Cricetulus griseus: one gene and its partners. The protein of the gene in region 1 binds, or shares a complex with, the protein of each later gene. Links are inferred from orthologs where the notes say so. Each region holds a gene or a part of one and is shown in the gene's direction. Other genes may lie near its edges. The genes, in order: Tmem126b, Ecsit, Tmem186, Ndufaf1 and Acad9.

Region 1 (2,278 bases):
TTTATATTCTTGGTACCTAACATATACCTGACACATAGTAAACAATATGTGTATCTATTCACCTAGAATCCAGGTATCAGATGTGATAGTATTCTTACTGTGATATTACTTCTGTAAAAATCAACATAAATGATAATTCTCCATATTTTAAAGTATAACAAGTATAGTTTTAAAACAAGATGCATTTAAGCCTGTTAAGTGCCAGACTTCGAATTGCTAAAGTCCTTTCTGCTGTTTAATTTTGGTTGCAAACAGCAAAATAACTGTGTTTTGAAAGACAGCTGCTTCGTTATATTAATTGTTATCTTAAATCTTAAAAGGAAACAAATTGTTCTGTTACTTTCTAGGTAACTTAAGCAAGGAAAACTGTATTATGAGAAGTGTACTGATTGGTGTGGGATGTGGTATTTTATATCCCAGTGCTCTGGCTTTTCGTAAAAATGGACATTTGGCAGTTAAGTAAGTCTATCCATTCCTTCTCTTTTTCCTTCATTCTTATACCCTCCCCCACCACCACCATGTGGTGTGTATGTCTGTGTCTGTGTTGAACATTTAACCAGAAGTCAACTCCAGGTGGTATTTCTCAAAAGCTGTCTACCTGATTTTACGTTTTTGAGACAGGATCTCACTGTGCAGCCATGAATAGCCTGGAATTATGTATACCAAGAAGGCCTTGAAGTCAGAAATCTGCCTTCCTTCGAAGGTGCTGGGATTGAACACATGCCACCATGTCTATTCACCTTACATTTTTGAGACAGGGTCTCTCATTGCTCTACAGCAGTGGTTCTCAACCTGTGGATAGCAACCCTTTTGGGGGTCAAACAACCCTTTCACAATTGTTGCCTAAGATCATAGGAAAACACAGATATTTACATTCATTATTATTCATAATGGTAACAAAATTATAATTATGAAGCAGCAATGAAAATAATTTATGGTTGGAGGTTATCACAACATGAGGAACTGTATTAAAGGGTCCCCACATTAGGAAAGTTGACAACCACTGAGCTAGAGCTTGCCATTAGGCTGATTATACAATGAATCCCAGGGACCCTTCTGCCTCTGCCTCTGCCTCCCCAGCACTGGGTTATAAGCACATCACCATGTTCAGTTATTTTTTTCCATTAACCTGGATTCTGAGTATCAAACTTTGGTCCTCATGGTTACATGGCAAGCATTTTACTGACTGAGTTATCCAGCCCTTCTCTTACATTCATTCAGTCCTTCCTTCCTTCTATTGGGGGTGGGGGAGGATGCTAATAAACTATTCTTTTTAGCTACAGGCTAAACAAAACAAAATAGCCTGCTAACATGTAATTTTGTTACCTGTATGGTAGACCTATAAACTAGACCTATAAACTAGAAATGACTAGTTTAGGAGAAATCAGACGCTTTCAGTGGTGTATCAGTCCAGGAGACATGGTTTACTCTTTTTCATTTTCAGGTATCATTCCGTTCCACTGCCACCAAAAGGAAGAGTTATACTCCATTGGTTAATCCTTAGTCAAACTGGGATGAAATTAATGTCTGCTCCTCTAGTATTTCAGGCAGTCTTTGGAGTGATTCATGGCTCTCACCACCATGCTTTATGTGAAAAACTACTTGGAAAAAAGTGTGCCTGAAAATTAACCATAGAATCAGTGGAGGCCAATTCGGCAGAATGGACTTTTTTAAAAGGACTCGGGCACTGGTCAAAGAGTAAAAAGTAACTCTGCTCCTTTTGCCTAGTATTTATCAGATACTCAGTAAATATAAATGTCAAACAAGTGCACATTTCATCCTTCTTTCTTTGTTGTGTATAGAATTGGGTTTGATGAGACTGGAGAGATGGCTCAGAGGTTAAAGAGCACTGGCTGCTCTTCTAGAGGTCCTGAGTTCAATTCCCAGCAACCACATGGTGGCTGACAACCATAGGTAATGAGATCTGGTGCCTTTTTCTGGCACATGCAGGCAGAACCCTGTATACATAATAAACAAATCATTAAATAAACCTTAAAGAAAAAGAAAAGAAATGGGTTTGGAGCCTCAGGTCTTACCTATGCCAAAATAGTGTGTGTACCTGGTATGCATCAGGGATTGTGCATGTAATAAGAATTGATCCCAAAGACGTCTCAGAAGAGGAATAAGAAATATGAACACATGGTATAAGATGGTTTGAGAGATACACACATAATGTGAGGGAACCAAAACAGTAACTTTACTATTTCGGCTGATGATGTTATAGGGGAAAGTAACATGAGCTAAATGTGAAGGAGGAATTGGAAGTTCATCAGAGAGG
Region 2 (4,178 bases), on another chromosome or scaffold:
TCTGACAGGCCTTGAGCTCACAGAGATCTGCCTGCTTCTGCTTCCCAAGTGCTGGGACTAAAGGCGTGTGCCACTATGCCTGGACATTAGATTACAAATGGAGTACCAATTTTCGACTGAGGGCTGTTTTTATAAGGCAAAATTGTAGGGCTGGAAGCCCGAAGATTTCAAAACTTCCGTGGTTACACAGGACAGGACAATGGTATGTGCTTCAGGCAAGGTGCAATTAAGCAGGATGCTGCAGAGGAAATGAGTTTGTTAATTATCTCCTGGGCTGGGGACTTCTACAATTGATAACTATCTGATCCTCTTTGGACCAGAGGAATGTCGACACTGCTCAAGAGTGTGATATCTGGTCCTGTGGACCTTTGTTTAACCTTGTCTGCTGGGCTGCCTTTTGGGAACTCAGAATTTTCTATTTGGGCTTTGGAGTCCAGGTTTTAGACTTTTATTAATTTTCCCCTTTCAAAAACAAGACTCCACATTCAATCATTAGACATACATATAATAATTCGATATATATGTGTTTATATACATAATCAATATTATCTATACACGCACACAACAGTTCCAGGGCATGATCACATCACCTACACATACACTCCAAAGGCCTCTCAGCCCTCAGTGTAGGCAGTTTGAAGAGTAAACCCAGACTCCCTGTTGGGGAGGGAGAGAGGGGTGCCAGGAATGCATGTCCTTTTCTCACAGTAGCCCTTGTTGTACTTATATGGCTATTTTACATAGATGAATTCAAATCTCAAAGATTCAGATTAAAGGGGGCTAAAAGTGCTTGCAACCATGCATAATGACCCAAGTTTCATCCCCAGTATCCACTTGATGGAAGGACCATTTCCCCTAAATTGTCCTCTGGCCTCCACGCGAATGTGCTCACTTAGACGCACACAAAATAAACAAACATAACTTGGAAGGAACCCTGTTAAAGCTGCTGGCGGCGCGGCCCACCTGAAGTTCCAGCTACTCGGGAGGTTGAACCCTCAGGACTTCTGGAGTCCGGGGTTTTGAGAATAGCCTGAGCACCATAGCAAGACCCTGACTCAAACAACTCAAAAGCAATTGTTTGGTAACATTAATACACCCTGGGGCTTGGGGCTGGTTGGGAGTGTGCTTGCTCAGCACGCAAGAAGCCCTGGGTTCCATCCCCACTCTGCACTGAACCGGACGTGGTGCTTCAGGTCCCTAACAGTATTTCGTCTGTAACAACTGACATTCCATCACACTTCGGGTGAGGAAACTGGACGGGACGGACTCGGCGCCGCCGCGGCAGGAACCCAAGGCCCCAGGCTCCCGCAGTTGGGTGAGGGGCAGGGATCAGTGCTCTCCCTCCTTCCTATTGGTGAGCGTCTCCTTGAGGGCGGGACCTATCGTCTCTGGCTTTTCCGATTTGCTGTCGCCTTCGGCCGGTAACCGGAAGCTCTGTGACAGAACATGAGGGCTGCCAGCGGTGGCACCTAGCCGGCTGTGTACCGCCGTCGGCCGCGTGAGTAGGTGGGTCGCGCGTGGGAGGGCGATGGGACAGTCTGGGGTTCAAGGGCGTCCACCTCCAGGCCTGGTAGAGCCGGAGAGGACAGCCTTCACCTCGGCCGCAGGGTGAGGGCCCCGTGACCTTTGGGGCTCGTGCTTGGGGACGGGCGAGGAAAGGCTGCTCGGCACCGTGTGCTTAAATGTCCGGTTTCGCGGGTGCTGGAGCAGCTCAGGGAGGCCACGCAGCCCTTGTGCGGTGAGGCAGGCTTTGGAGACCTGGGAGCGCGGCAGCCCACGCACACACGTACATACACGCCACCTCGCTGTAAGGATTCATCTGCTTATCCGTACTCAGATGGTCGGTGTTGGGCACTTACCATGTACTAGGGCACTGTCCCTGCTGGTGGAGGCATATAAATGAGAAAAACAGATTAAAAAATATATTATCTAAGAGAGGCAATTGCTGAGCAGATCGCAAACGGAGCAGATCATTTCGTGACTTCAAATAATGATTGTTGCAGTGTGTTCCATGAAACAAGAGTCTTTATGTATCCCAAGCTGGCCTCGAACTCTTTTTTTGGGGGGGGGCGCGGGGTGGGGCGGGTGTTAGAGACAGGGTTTCTCTGTGGCTTTGGAGGCTGTCCTGGAACTAGCTCTTGTAGACCAGGCTGTTTTCAAACTCACAGAGATCTATCTGCCTGCCTCTGCCTCCCGAGTGCTGGGATTAAAGGCGCGTTCCACCACCGCCTGGCTTGGCCTCGATCTTCCTGCTCCAGCCTTCTGAGTGCTGGATTACAGGCACGCACCAAGATGATAAGCAGTAGGCAGAGGGTAAAACAAGTTCAAAGCCTGTGAGACCAATAAACTTGTCTTGTTTCAGAAACAGTGTGGCTGGAGCTACAAGGATAGGGGCAGTTCAGCAGGTAGACTCCATATGAGGTCGATTTATTTATTTAATTAACTTATTTTTATTTCATGTACATTGGTTTGCCTGTATAAGGGTGTTGGATTCCTTGGAACTGGAGTTACAGACAGTTGTTAGCTGCCATGTGGGTGCTGGTCCTTTGGAAGAGCAGTCAGTGCTCTTAACCACTGAGCCATCTCTCCAGCCTCCCTACCCACCCTTTCTGATATTTACTTACTTTGAAGTTTTTTAGTTATTGGGGTGGGGTGGGACACACATGTGTGCCATGTTGCATGGTGGAGGTCAGAGGAGAGCCAGGGAGTTTTATCCATACACCTTATGCTGGTTCCTGGGATTGAACTCAGGTCATTAGGCTTGCATTGTTGCAGCAGCAAGTACCTTTCTCAGTTGAATCTTCTGTCCTGGCTCTTATTTATTTACAGTTTAGACGGGACTTTATGGTAACTCAACACTGTCATGAGCTCACTAATTACTACCAGCTGGTCTGATACTGGATGCAATTCCTCCTGCCTCAGACTCCACACTGCTGGCTTTACAGCCACAACACTTGTCTCAAGTCTTGTTTTTTTGTTTTTTTGTTTTTTTCCTTTTTGAGGTAGAGTCCTACTATGTACCCTGGTTGGTCTGGAACTTGCTGTGTCTATGTAGATCAGGCTCACCTCAAACTCAGACATCTGTCTGCCTGTGTCTCCTGAGTGCTGGGATTACAGGTATGTGCCATCACACCCAGCATTTTTATGTGTTCATGTGTGGGTATGTGGATGTATGTTAGTGCATGTACACATATGCACATGTGTATAGGAGGACAAATGTCAAACTTGGATGTTGTTCCTCAGGAGCAGTCCACTTTGTGCTTTGAGACAGGGTCTTTTCACTGGGACCTGTGGCTCACTGATTAGGCAGGCTGGCAGGCCATCGAGCTCAGGGACCTGCCCATTTCTGCTTCCCCAGTGCTGGGATTACAAGTGCATGTCACCTCACCTGGCTTTTTATGTGGGTGCTGGGGATCAAACCCAGGTCCTTGGACTTTCAGGGCAAGCATTTTACCAATAAAGGCATCTCTCCAGCCCCTTAGTTTGCATTGTTAGAGCTTTCTTTTCCAATGGAGGGAAGTAACTACTGGACAGGAGAGAGTGGACACCTATGCAGGAAAGCAAAGCCGGTCCTGGTGCTGTGACCTACAGCAAAGGGGACAGATTGGGAAGTAGTCTCCAGGACTGTTGGACAGACTGAATAAGGACATGGTGGACTCTAAATGACTCCTGCTTTATGGCTTGAATAGTGAGGAAGGGTGGTAACCCTGGCTAACCTCCAGATCAAAGGTATGTCTGTTGGTATCCCATGACTGGAGTTTGAGATGGCTGGTTTGTACCAAAATTATGTTTAGGTATGGGGTGAAAACATGAGGGAACCATGAGCACTCACTGAGAGTATTCACTGCTCTGATTAAACATGTAAGAGCCACCTATGGCTGTCACAGTGCATATTCCCACACAGGATATCTGAGTTAAGAGTCAACATTTTACAGGTCCTAGAACACAATCTGCAAAGCAAAGGTTTAGATTCTTCTTATCTAACTATATGCCAAGCAAGTATTCTACCATCAGCCCCTCACTGGGGCAGTCTAGGCAAGGGCTCTACCACTGAACCATGCCCCCAGCAGCTCACTGGGGTTCTCACTATGCAGCCCTAGCTCGCCTGGAACTTACTAAGATCTGCCTGCCTCTTCCTCCTGAATACTAGGAATAAAAGTACATTACCATGCCTGGCT
Region 3 (4,188 bases), on another chromosome or scaffold:
TTTCCTTACATTTGAATGGTAGAAGCTGGGTGGTGGGGGCATGCACCTTTAATCTTAGCAAAACTGCAAGTTCAACACTGTACAAAGGCTTAGAAATGTAGACTCCTGGCCACTATGTCTCCTGGGCCAACTGAACAAGTTTGTTTCTATAATAATTTTATTTTTATTATGTATGTATACGCATGTACATGTGCCACAATGTACAAGGAGAGGTAAGAAGACAACTTGTGGGAGTTGGTTCTGTCATTCTACCATGTGGGTTCCAGGAATTGAACTCAGGTCCCAAGGCTTAGGGTTTAATGACTCTACCCACTGGGCCATCTAAGCGGCCTCTTAATAAATTTATTAGAACATAGCTACTCAGTTTACATTTGGTCTATGGCTGTTTTTGCACTAAAGTTGAGTAGTTACTACAGGTCATATGTTCTACAAAGACAAAAGCCCTTTACAATATATGATTTCCGCTTCCAGCTCTAGACTACTATTGGCTCTTGTTTTGAGGCAAGTTCCCCAGGTTTGCCTCAAACTCACTATATGGCCCAGGCTCTGAACCCTCAAATCCTCCTGCAGGGATTAAACCCTATGCCACCTGCCCACCTTACTATCGACTTAACTCATAAGTGTGCATTGAGCAATGAAGCTGAGTAAGGGTTCTGGAGAACTTGTGGTTGAATGCCATCACTAGATAATTCAAACTGTGGCTCAGAAAGGCTGATTGTGGTAGAGAAGGGGTTGGGGTGGTGCAAGCGTCTCCTCTTTGAGGCTTGATGTGGGCGCGGCACTGTCACGAATTTCTGTTATCCTCACACACACCCCATGCAACAGGCAATACACCCGTTTAAAGTGGACTGGGGACTCCGAGGAAGTGATTTGCTCAAGGTCAGACATCTGAAAACCTGCCTTTGATATACTAGACGACACAGCCAAAGGTGACAGGGCTGGGAAAGTGGTACAGCAGGTCGGGGGGGCTAAACTGGAGTTACAATCCGGGCCACCAGTCCCCAGGACCCCCAAAGAAATTCAGACCCGAACTTTAAGACTCCGAACTCTTTCCTGTTCGGAAGAGGTCGTTTTTTGCCCCGTCTTCCTGCGCACCCCGCTCAGGACCCACGTCTCCTGGTCCCCGGGCGGTGGTCACCGCGGTCTGGGTTCTGCACGGGCTCCGCTCCACAGCCGCGAGCCTCCCGGGCGCCGCCTACCTGCCGCGGGGCAGTCAGGGTCCCATCCACGTCGAAGAGACAGAGCGCGGCCATGATTCCACTCGGAAGATTTGTTGGCACCCGGAACTCCACCCGGAACTTCCGGGTTCATTCCGAGCCCCGTAGCCCAAGGCACGACGGGAAAACGATGATTCCCTAGTGACTCACCGAACACTCACATAGACACAAGATTTAAACTACAATCCCCGAGATCTAACACTTTGTTTTTGGTTTGCGCATGCGGATTTTTTTTTAACTTTCCGCTCATGCGCTCTTCGAGTTTCCGGGGACAAGTCGGTTTACTTTTCACAGCAGGAGACCGTATCATGGTACGGAGGGCCGGTAGTGGGCGGTGAAAGAGGGTACGCAGTTAGGGGACCCTGGTCGAGCCTAGGACTGGCAGGAAGGATGCCTGGGCCGCCGATTCGGGAAGTGTATTATGATCTGTTATTTCCCAGCCTCCTCCGTTCCCCTTGGGTCACGTGGGCGGTCAGAGTCGCTACGACTCCTCGGGCGCGCATCAAGTCCAGGGCCTAAGATTACCATGTCTCGCTCAGCATATTCTGAGGCTTTCTTTGGAAAGGTGCACAAGGATGCACAGCTAGTGTCCGTGAGAGCCCGCCTCTGACTCTGAAGCTCAGAATTTGCTCACTTGCTACTCATCCAGAAAAATGTTGTGCAGTGTTTTGAAGGCCTCCGTGTCGCATTTCTCCGCTGTTCCCCCTTTCCCAACCAGGCTAATAGATAGTAGTTCTACCGTATAAAGAAGTCGGGAGAAATGCAAAGGTACTGTGATAAGTACCCCAAAGTTTTGATGCTTGGGTTTCCCACTGTGACACCGATTGGTTTACTCCTTGAGGAAGTGTCCCACAGACTTGTGGACCTAAGTTCGAGTCCACTGCTGGCTCGTCAGTAGGTCTTTACTGAATGTCTGAAAGTAAACCTTTCCTGTGTTTACTTGGACCTGCCTAAGGGAAAGGACCGGCCTGAGAGACCTGGCCCCATTCATTCTGTTGAGTTTCCGTGCCCTTGCGGGGGAGGGGACTTAGTTTTTAATTTAAAAAAAAAAAATCCTGGTGTGTTCAATGTGCATATGCTTGTGCCGTGGCATGTGGAGGCTCAAGGACATCCCTGCATGAGTAATTTTTCTTCCGATACTGTGTTGGCTCCAGAAGTGCAATTCAAGTCATCTGGCTTGGTGGCAAGCACCTTTACTTATGGGATATCTCACTGGCTGGGATTAGGGTTTCTTTGTTTGTTTGTTTACTTGTAAAAACAGGAGTATGCACTTATCCAGAGCAGAATTCCACAAAAAGTGAAGCCCCAATGGCTTTCTAGGGTTGGTTGGAGCCTTTCTGGAGGAAGCTTTGCCTTGTTCCTTGTGTGATTATTATGGTTGAATTCTGAAAGAAACTCTCTTTTCCAGTCTGTCTTCCTTCGAGCTGTGCCAAGATTTCAGGGGCCAGCCACATGGGGGAGACCTCTTCATCGGCTGTGGTGCTGCACTGGGCAGGGGGATTCCAACAGGTGGGTGGCTAGCAAGGCTCCCACCTTGCAGGAGAAGCCACCAGGCACAGAGACGGAGAAATTCCATACAATCTACCGATTCAGAGCCATCAAAAGATTTGGGTTTCTATCTCGACTGAAGTTGGCCCAGACATTTCTGACTGTGACAGCCCTACCCCCAGGCTTGTACTGGTACTCACAGGGCCTCCTGAGTGTCAAGTCACTCTACCTTATGAGTGGAGTCTCTTGCTTCACCCTGGCCATGCTGTGTTGGATGAGCTACTTCTTCCAGAGGCTGGTGGGCTTCATGTATGTGAATGAGTCAGGTACTGTGCTTCGAGTGGCCCACCTGTCCTTCTTTGGGTGGCGACAAGATACGTATTGTGCTGTGTCAGACATAATACCCCTGTCAGAATCCAAGGAACATGCCCAGGATCTGTTGGTACGAATCCAGCAATATGGTAGCAAGAAGACCTTCTATGTCACCCTGCGCTATGGCCGAATCCTGGACAGAGAACGTTTCTCACAAGTGTTTGGAAACCCAACCACACTTAAGAAAAACAACTAAGCTGGGCATTGGTGGCGCATGCCTTTAATCCCAGCACTCGGGAGGCAGAGGCAGGTGGATCTCTGTGAGTTCGAGACCAGCTTAGTCTCCAGATCGAGTGCCAGGATAGTCTCCAAAGCTACACAGAGAAACCCTGTCTCGAAAAACCAAAAAACAAACAAACAAACAAACAAACAAAAAAAACCAACTAGGCCTTTGGTAGCCCTGGTTACACTTGGATTTTAGACAGGAAGGCCAAAAACATTAATGAGGCAGAAGCTAATAACCAGGGCCTGGGGCTGAAGCTCAATTGGTAGACTGCTTGTCTAGCATGCAGGAAGGGAAACCCTGGGTTGAATCCCTAGAACTGCATATAACCAGGCATGGTTGTGCGTGTTTGTACTTCTCCATGTAGATGGAGGCAGGTGGAGAAGTTCAAAGTTGTGTTGGGGCAAAAAAGAAGATATTAACCAACTTTAGGAAAAAGCCCTTAGTGGAACATTGTACTGAATAGGACATTCCAACAGATAGTGACTAGAAGTTTTTATGAAGAGGCACTTCTTGGAGGAATGCTATGCCAAGGTCACAGAGGCAGCCCACTGCTATGAAACCAGAGGCAGGAGGGTTGGCAGAGGAACACAGACTGTGGAATTACAGGCTTACAGCATCGATAAAGGCTTCTAGCCTGCCCTGCACCCCTTGTGCTCACCAGCTAGATGGCCAGCACTGAAGCCCACTCCAACTGAGGTAGGGACAGCACCCGGCTGAGAATGCTGACCACCAGGAGATCCAGGGCCGCTTAAACTGGGGAGCTTTGCAGTGTCATCAGGACAGAGGGACACCAAGCAACTTATCAGCTGAAGGAGACTGTGTATGCTGCTTTTCATAATGGGTAACACACATGCTTATTAGGTGAATTGTGCCTGTATAAAGAGG
Region 4 (2,409 bases), on another chromosome or scaffold:
GTATCTCAGGGCTGTGAGGAGGATTAAAGGAAATCAGGCATGTAAATTGTTTGAATGGGTGTTCGCTATTATTGTGTGTGTATGAGGGGGGAGGGAGGGACGAGAGTGTGTGAGCATGTGGAGGCCAGAAGGTAACGTTGGGATGTCTTCCTGTATCACTGCCTGCCTTGCTTTTGGAGACAAGGTCCTCCCCCTGAACCTGGAGCTCACAGTTTTGTCTAGACTGGCTGACCAGTGAACCCCCAGGTCTTCCTGTCTTCCTGTCTCTGTGAGTGAGGAGTTACAGGTGGATACTGCAGGATACCTAGTTTTGAATGTGGGTGCTGGGGATCTGAACTCAGGTCCTTATACTTTTGCAGCAAGCACTGAGACATCTTCCCAGCCTCTTGATTTTTAAAACCTGAGCTTGATTTTTGATGGGTAAGGTAGTTGTCATTAAATGGGCCACTCAGAAGCCATTGTGTCTTAGAACTAGGGAGGAAAATTACATTAATTTCCATTCAGCAAACACAAATGGATGTCATATGGAAGCATTGTCCTAGCTTAATCATGCCTTCAACAATTACCTTAGAAACATGTCAGTATTCTATACTAAAATACTGGTTTATTTGTCTCTTCGTGGTAGAAAATATACATGGAGCCAGGTATATAAAAATATACCTTTAATCCCAGTACTCGGGAGGCAGAGACAGGCGGGTCTCTGTGAGTTCAAGGCCAGCCTGGTCTACAGAGCAAGTGCCAGGATAAGCTCCAAAGCCACAGAGAAACCCTGTCTCAAAAAACCCCCCCAAAAAAAAAAAAAGAAAAAGAAAAAGAAAAAAATATATACATGGAATGCCCTAGTGGGTCTGGAAGATGGCTCAGTAGCTAAGGCACTTGCTGGTAAGCCTGAAGACCCAAGTTTAATCTCTGGAACCCACATGGAGAAATGAAAGACCAACAAAAGTTGTCCTCTGATGTCATATGTGCCCCTCTCCCCATAACAATACAGCATACTCGGTGGTAACTTGGTGATAACCATGCAAACTAACTTTTCTGTACCCTAGCGTTCTTTTGAGAGGAAGCAGTATTATGATTGGTCCCTGTTCAATTCTCTGTATCTCCGAGTCCGTGGGGATGGCCGGCCTTGGATGGTGAATATCAGGCAAGATACAGACTTTATCCAGAGGAAAAATCAGATGTACAGTTACTTCATGTTCACCCGTGGGGGGCCCTACTGGCAGGAAGTCAAGGTAAAATTTCAGTTCTTCACTGTTTGGGAAAATGGGGTTCATTGAAACTATGGTTACATTGTAGTTTCCTTTTTCATACTAATCATTCTTTTTTAACATTTTTTATCTATTTTTATTTTACGAGTATTGGTAGTTCATCTACATGAATGTTTGTGTGTCAGTATTGTATCCCCTGGAACTGGAGTTACAGACAGGCTTGCCATGTGGGTGCTGGGAATTGAACCTGGGTCCTCTGGAAGACCAGCCAGTGCTTTCAACCACTGAGCCATCTCTCCAACCCATACTAATCATTCTTACATAAAATAGAGGCAGAAGTAAGGGGAAATTTTTTTTTTAAGGACTTATTCTGCCTGCATATATTCCTGTGGGCCAGAAGAGGGCACCAGATCTCATTATAGATGGTTGTGAGCCCATCATGTGGTTGCTAGGAATTGAACTCAGAACCTCTGGAAAAACAGTCAGTGCTCTTAACCTCTGAGCCATCTCTCCAGCCAGTCCTTGGAGAGAGATTTAAAGGACAAATGTTTTGTTTTTCCATTAATAAAAATGAGCCAGGCTGGGTGGTGATGGTACACACCTTTAATCCCAACATTTTAGAGGTAGAGGCAAGTGCTTTCTGTGAATTTGAGGCCAGCCTGGTCTACGTAGTTAGTTCCAGTACAGCCAGGACTGCATAGAGAGATGCTAACTCTAAATAAACAAATTTATGTGTGTATGTATCGTAATTTAGGTTATTATTGTGATGAAATACCATAACCAAAAGCAAGCTGGGAAGGAAAGGGTTTATTTCACTCACAGTTCCATACACCAGTTCGTTATCAAAGGCAGTGAGGACAGGAACTCAATCAGGTCTGGTACTTGGAGGTAGGAGCAGATGCAGAGGCCATGGAGGAGTGCTGCTTATTGGCTTGCTCCTCGTGGCTTTCCCAGCCTGATTTCTTATAGAATGCAGGACCACCAGCCCAGGGATTGTACTGCCCACCATGGGCTGTGCCCTCCCCCACCAATCGCTAATAAGAGAATGCTCCACAGGCTTCCCTACAGCCTGATCTTATAGAGGCATTTTCTCCATTGAACTTCCCTCCTCTTGGATGACTTGTGTCAAGTTGCCATAAAACTAGTCAGCACTAGCCGGGTGTTGGTGGCGCACGCCTTTAATTCCAGCACTCGGGAGGCA
Region 5 (3,521 bases), on another chromosome or scaffold:
TTTGTTCAGCCACTTTTCTGCCAGATCCATTAACTTTGGGTCATCACTATCAGTTGGGACTATTTCCCTTGGTTTCTCGGAGTTTTCTGATATACTTACTGTAATAGCAAGAGCCTCTAAGTTGATTTTCACAACCCTCTAGCTTTGGTTTTTTTTTTAATTTTTTAAATATTTTTTTTATTTTTTGAGAATTTCATATAATCTCTTTTGATCATGTACTTCCCCCTCTTCAAATCCCTTTAAATCCTCCTTCACTTCCTACACACTCAATTTCATGTTCTTTCTCTCCTTTAAACCCCCACTTCTCCCAGAACTAACCCGGGAGCCTTGTTTGTGTTGTATACCTACTGAGCGTGGGGCTTGGGTGGAGTTGGGGTGCTATGCCAGTGATGTTCCATTAAAGAAAACTGATTTCTCTCTCCCAGCTGCAATCAGTTGCTTCTTGGCTAGGTCTTATTTGTGCCCACTTCCCTTTCTCCATGTTGGGGTTTTGTCTGGCTTGAACTTGTGCAGGTCTTGTACATGCTGCTGTAGTCCCTGTGAGTTTATATGTGTATCGGTCCTATTGTCTCTGGAAACTGTTTCCTTGAAATCATCGACTACCTCTGGCTCTTACAATCTTTCTACCGCCTCTTCCGCATTCATTCCTGAGCCTTAAGAGTAGGGCTGAGTGCTTCGAAGTCTCTCCCTCTCTTCACGTTGTCCAACAACCTTTCTTATTAACCATCAGTGAACAGGAGTAAAGGGGTAATTGTGGCTTTATTTACTAAATAGTTGACCATGGAAAGCTGTATCTGAGAGGCCAAAGAGATCAGTCATCTTGGGTGGCCTAAAACGGCAGTTTCCAAGGATATGGATGCTTAAATGTTGGTGTCAGGGAAGACCTGAGAAAAGCACAGCTTGGCCATTACATGCTAAACAGCAGAAATAAACTTTGGAGCCTGGACTCAAATCCTAGATTTGCTATTCCCTAACCATGTCACCTAGAACAAGTCACTTAATATCTCTGAGCCTCCATTATTATCTATGAAATGGAGATAGTAAAAGTACCAACATAAAATTATTGAGAAAGCTAAAGGTGCTAATAAACAGCTTAGAGTACCTAACATAACATGTCACCTATTATTGGTTAGTTAATTTTATAATATCAAGGTGTAGTCAAGATAAACAGTAAAATTCCTATTGAAAACACACACAGTAAAATATATATGTGTTTAGATAGCAATTTCTTGCTTGGGTTTTTTTGTTTTGTTTTGTTTTGAGGTTGGGGAAGTTTTCTTCTGTTTTGTTAAATATTTTCTGCGCCTTAGACCTGGGTTTCTTCTTCTATTCCTTTTATGTAAATTTGGTCTTTTCCTGGATGTTTTGTGCCTGAGTTTTTTAGATTTAACATTTTCTTTGACCATTTCTTCTATCTTCAATGCCTGATATTCTGTCCTCTGTGTCTCATACTCTTTTAGCAAGGCTGACCGCTGAGGTTTTTGTTTGACTTCCTAAATTTTCCATTTCCAGTTTTATTTCAGTTTGGGTTTTCTTTAGTGGTTCTGTTTCTACTTTCATGTCTTGAGCTGTTTTCACTATTTGATTATACTGTTTGTGTTTTCACAGATTTCATTGAGGTTTATTGGTATCCTTTTTAACATCCTTGTCTTATGCTTCAACTATGTAGAATTTCTCAGGGTCCACTGTAGTAAGGTTACTGGGTTCTGGAGGGGACACATTGTCTTGACATGTTTGCATTTTTGTTCTGGTGTCTAGGCATTTATAGTTATGATATTTAAGATAATTCTAGGTGTAGGCATCTGGTCTTGTCTTTGTTGGGTATGAGTTCTGTTTCTTAGTTTCTTTTGCCCTCTCTGGATCTCAGGAAAGGATCTCTAGGCTGTGGGTTGTCTGGTACTGAGTGCTTCTGAGTCCAGGTCCTGTGTGGCCACTGGGGGTCCCAGGTAGAAAGTGTTTGTAGAAATTGGCAGATGACTTAAAGGAATGGGCTAGAAGGTAGGGTTGAGTAAGGGTCTTTTTTTAAAGCTATGATACAAGTAACAACCCCACTTTCAGCTGGACTTGAATTCTTAAGAGAGATGCTGGAAGATGTGACAGCCTAGAGAAATGGACATTGGAGAGTCTGAAGTGGTCCTGTTTAAGCTTAGGAACAGGGGCAGCTGTGTGCTGGGTGGGATTCATTTCATTCTCATGTTTTCCTTGGACACCAACTACTGACTGGTGTCCAAGAGCTGACCCTCTTCCACATGCTAACCCTAGAGCTGAGTGTCTCTATCCATAGGATGTTCCATAGACAGTGCTCATGAGAGCAAAATGGAAGTCCGTGGGGATGGCAAGAGTAATCACACTTCCTAAAGGGAAAATCTGGGTGAATTACAAAGCATAGGAGTTGGCACAAGAGACATGACACAAGTGTTGGGGATGGAACACAGTCTGGTCACTGGTCCAAGAAGGCAAAAGGACTTGACTGTGCCTACCTGGAAAGTTCCTCCTGGAACCACTCGTCTCCAAGCTCAGGTTTTCTGCACATTCTCTGACTGCATCCTGGGCAGCAGCTCCCTGTAGCTTAGGTCTTGCTCTTACAAGACTGAAGGGAATGTCTTGTGGAACACTCCCACCAGGCTCTAACCTTGTCTGGGTCTGTGACAGGTATTTAGCTCTGAGGCTGCCTGGCAGTGTGTGAGCGAGGCTCTGCAGATCCTTGGGGGCTCCGGCTACATGAAGGACTACCCCTATGAGCGTTTTCTGCGTGATTCCCGCATCCTCCTCATCTTTGAGGTGAGTGTCCCTGCCGACTGTGCTTCCCCGTACACCACCTTAGTGATGTCCCTCTGCTCTTCCAGCCTTCCGAGCCCTGAGAGAGGCTGCTAAGTCTCCAGAAATAGCCTACAATGATACAGGGCAGGCTGTATCCTCTGGTTGGACCCTCTTAACCATACACCAGTGCTCCCACCCTCCCTTGCTTTGTAGAGGGGAATTTAGACTGGGAGAGCCCGAACAGCCCCCTCAGGTCACACTCCTGAAAGCCCTTTCTACTGGGCCCATAACTTCCCAGTTGTAGTTTTGCCAAGTTACTTCTGGCTGGGCAGGATTGGATAAATCTGTAGGAGAGTAGGGGTTCCAGTCCCAGATCCCACTCTGCTTCCATTCTGTACTCCCTAGGCTATGATTTCACTCTCAGTAAATTGAAGTTAAGCTGACTCCTGTGAGCTCCAATGGAAGGTCTCCTTGGTCTTTTGGTCCCAGTCAACATCTCTGCCTTTTCAGTCAGCCACAGCCTAATAGCAGAAGGCTGGGCTGCCCAAAGAGCCAGGCATGTCTGAATTTTGTCTTGGGGTTGCCTCTCTATTGGCCCTTCCTATAGGGAGAGGCCTGGATTTCTCAAAGATCCTGGCTAGGTAGTATAGTCCAGCAGGGTTTGCTCTTGAGGCCATAATTCATAGAAGGGTGGGGAAATTTTGATGTGAGGCAGACTTTGTTCAGAGCTAAGGGCAATACCACAAGAGTCTCCATGCCCA

The links.
Region 2: Tmem126b (region 1) and Ecsit share a complex: the UniProt entries of both Homo sapiens proteins name them as parts of the mitochondrial complex. The link is inferred for Cricetulus griseus from reciprocal best matches to the Homo sapiens genes TMEM126B and ECSIT.
Region 3: Tmem126b (region 1) and Tmem186 share a complex: the UniProt entries of both Homo sapiens proteins name them as parts of the mitochondrial complex. The link is inferred for Cricetulus griseus from reciprocal best matches to the Homo sapiens genes TMEM126B and TMEM186.
Region 4: Tmem126b (region 1) and Ndufaf1 share a complex: the UniProt entries of both Homo sapiens proteins name them as parts of the mitochondrial complex. The link is inferred for Cricetulus griseus from reciprocal best matches to the Homo sapiens genes TMEM126B and NDUFAF1.
Region 5: Tmem126b (region 1) and Acad9 share a complex: the UniProt entries of both Homo sapiens proteins name them as parts of the mitochondrial complex. The link is inferred for Cricetulus griseus from reciprocal best matches to the Homo sapiens genes TMEM126B and ACAD9.

The regions. Positions count from the first base shown.
Region 1 is NC_048596.1:108,635,583-108,637,860, forward strand, and holds the end of Tmem126b (complex I assembly factor TMEM126B, mitochondrial), read left to right. Parts: intron 1-347; coding exon 348-459; intron 460-1,444; coding exon 1,445-1,622; 3' UTR 1,623-1,771; downstream 1,772-2,278. UniProt on the Homo sapiens protein: As part of the MCIA complex, involved in the assembly of the mitochondrial complex I. Participates in constructing the membrane arm of complex I.
Region 2 is NC_048597.1:134,979,055-134,983,232, reverse strand, and holds the start of Ecsit (evolutionarily conserved signaling intermediate in Toll pathway, mitochondrial), read left to right. Parts: upstream 1-1,375; 5' UTR 1,376-1,498; exon of another isoform or gene 1,499-1,506; intron 1,507-3,002; exon of another isoform or gene 3,003-3,117; intron 3,118-4,178.
Region 3 is NC_048600.1:38,136,639-38,140,826, forward strand, and holds the start of Tmem186 (transmembrane protein 186), read left to right. Parts: upstream 1-1,377; 5' UTR 1,378-1,465; coding exon 1,466-1,528; intron 1,529-2,625; coding exon 2,626-3,273; 3' UTR 3,274-4,188. Other genes in the region: Pmm2 (phosphomannomutase 2), read right to left, coding at 1,200-1,253. UniProt on the Homo sapiens protein: As part of the MCIA complex, required for efficient assembly of the mitochondrial complex I.
Region 4 is NC_048599.1:58,829,668-58,832,076, forward strand, and holds part of Ndufaf1 (complex I intermediate-associated protein 30, mitochondrial), read left to right. Parts: intron 1-1,046; coding exon 1,047-1,232; intron 1,233-2,409. UniProt on the Homo sapiens protein: As part of the MCIA complex, involved in the assembly of the mitochondrial complex I.
Region 5 is NW_023276806.1:113,480,755-113,484,275, reverse strand, and holds part of Acad9 (complex I assembly factor ACAD9, mitochondrial), read left to right. Parts: intron 1-2,652; coding exon 2,653-2,781; intron 2,782-3,521. UniProt on the Homo sapiens protein: As part of the MCIA complex, primarily participates in the assembly of the mitochondrial complex I and therefore plays a role in oxidative phosphorylation.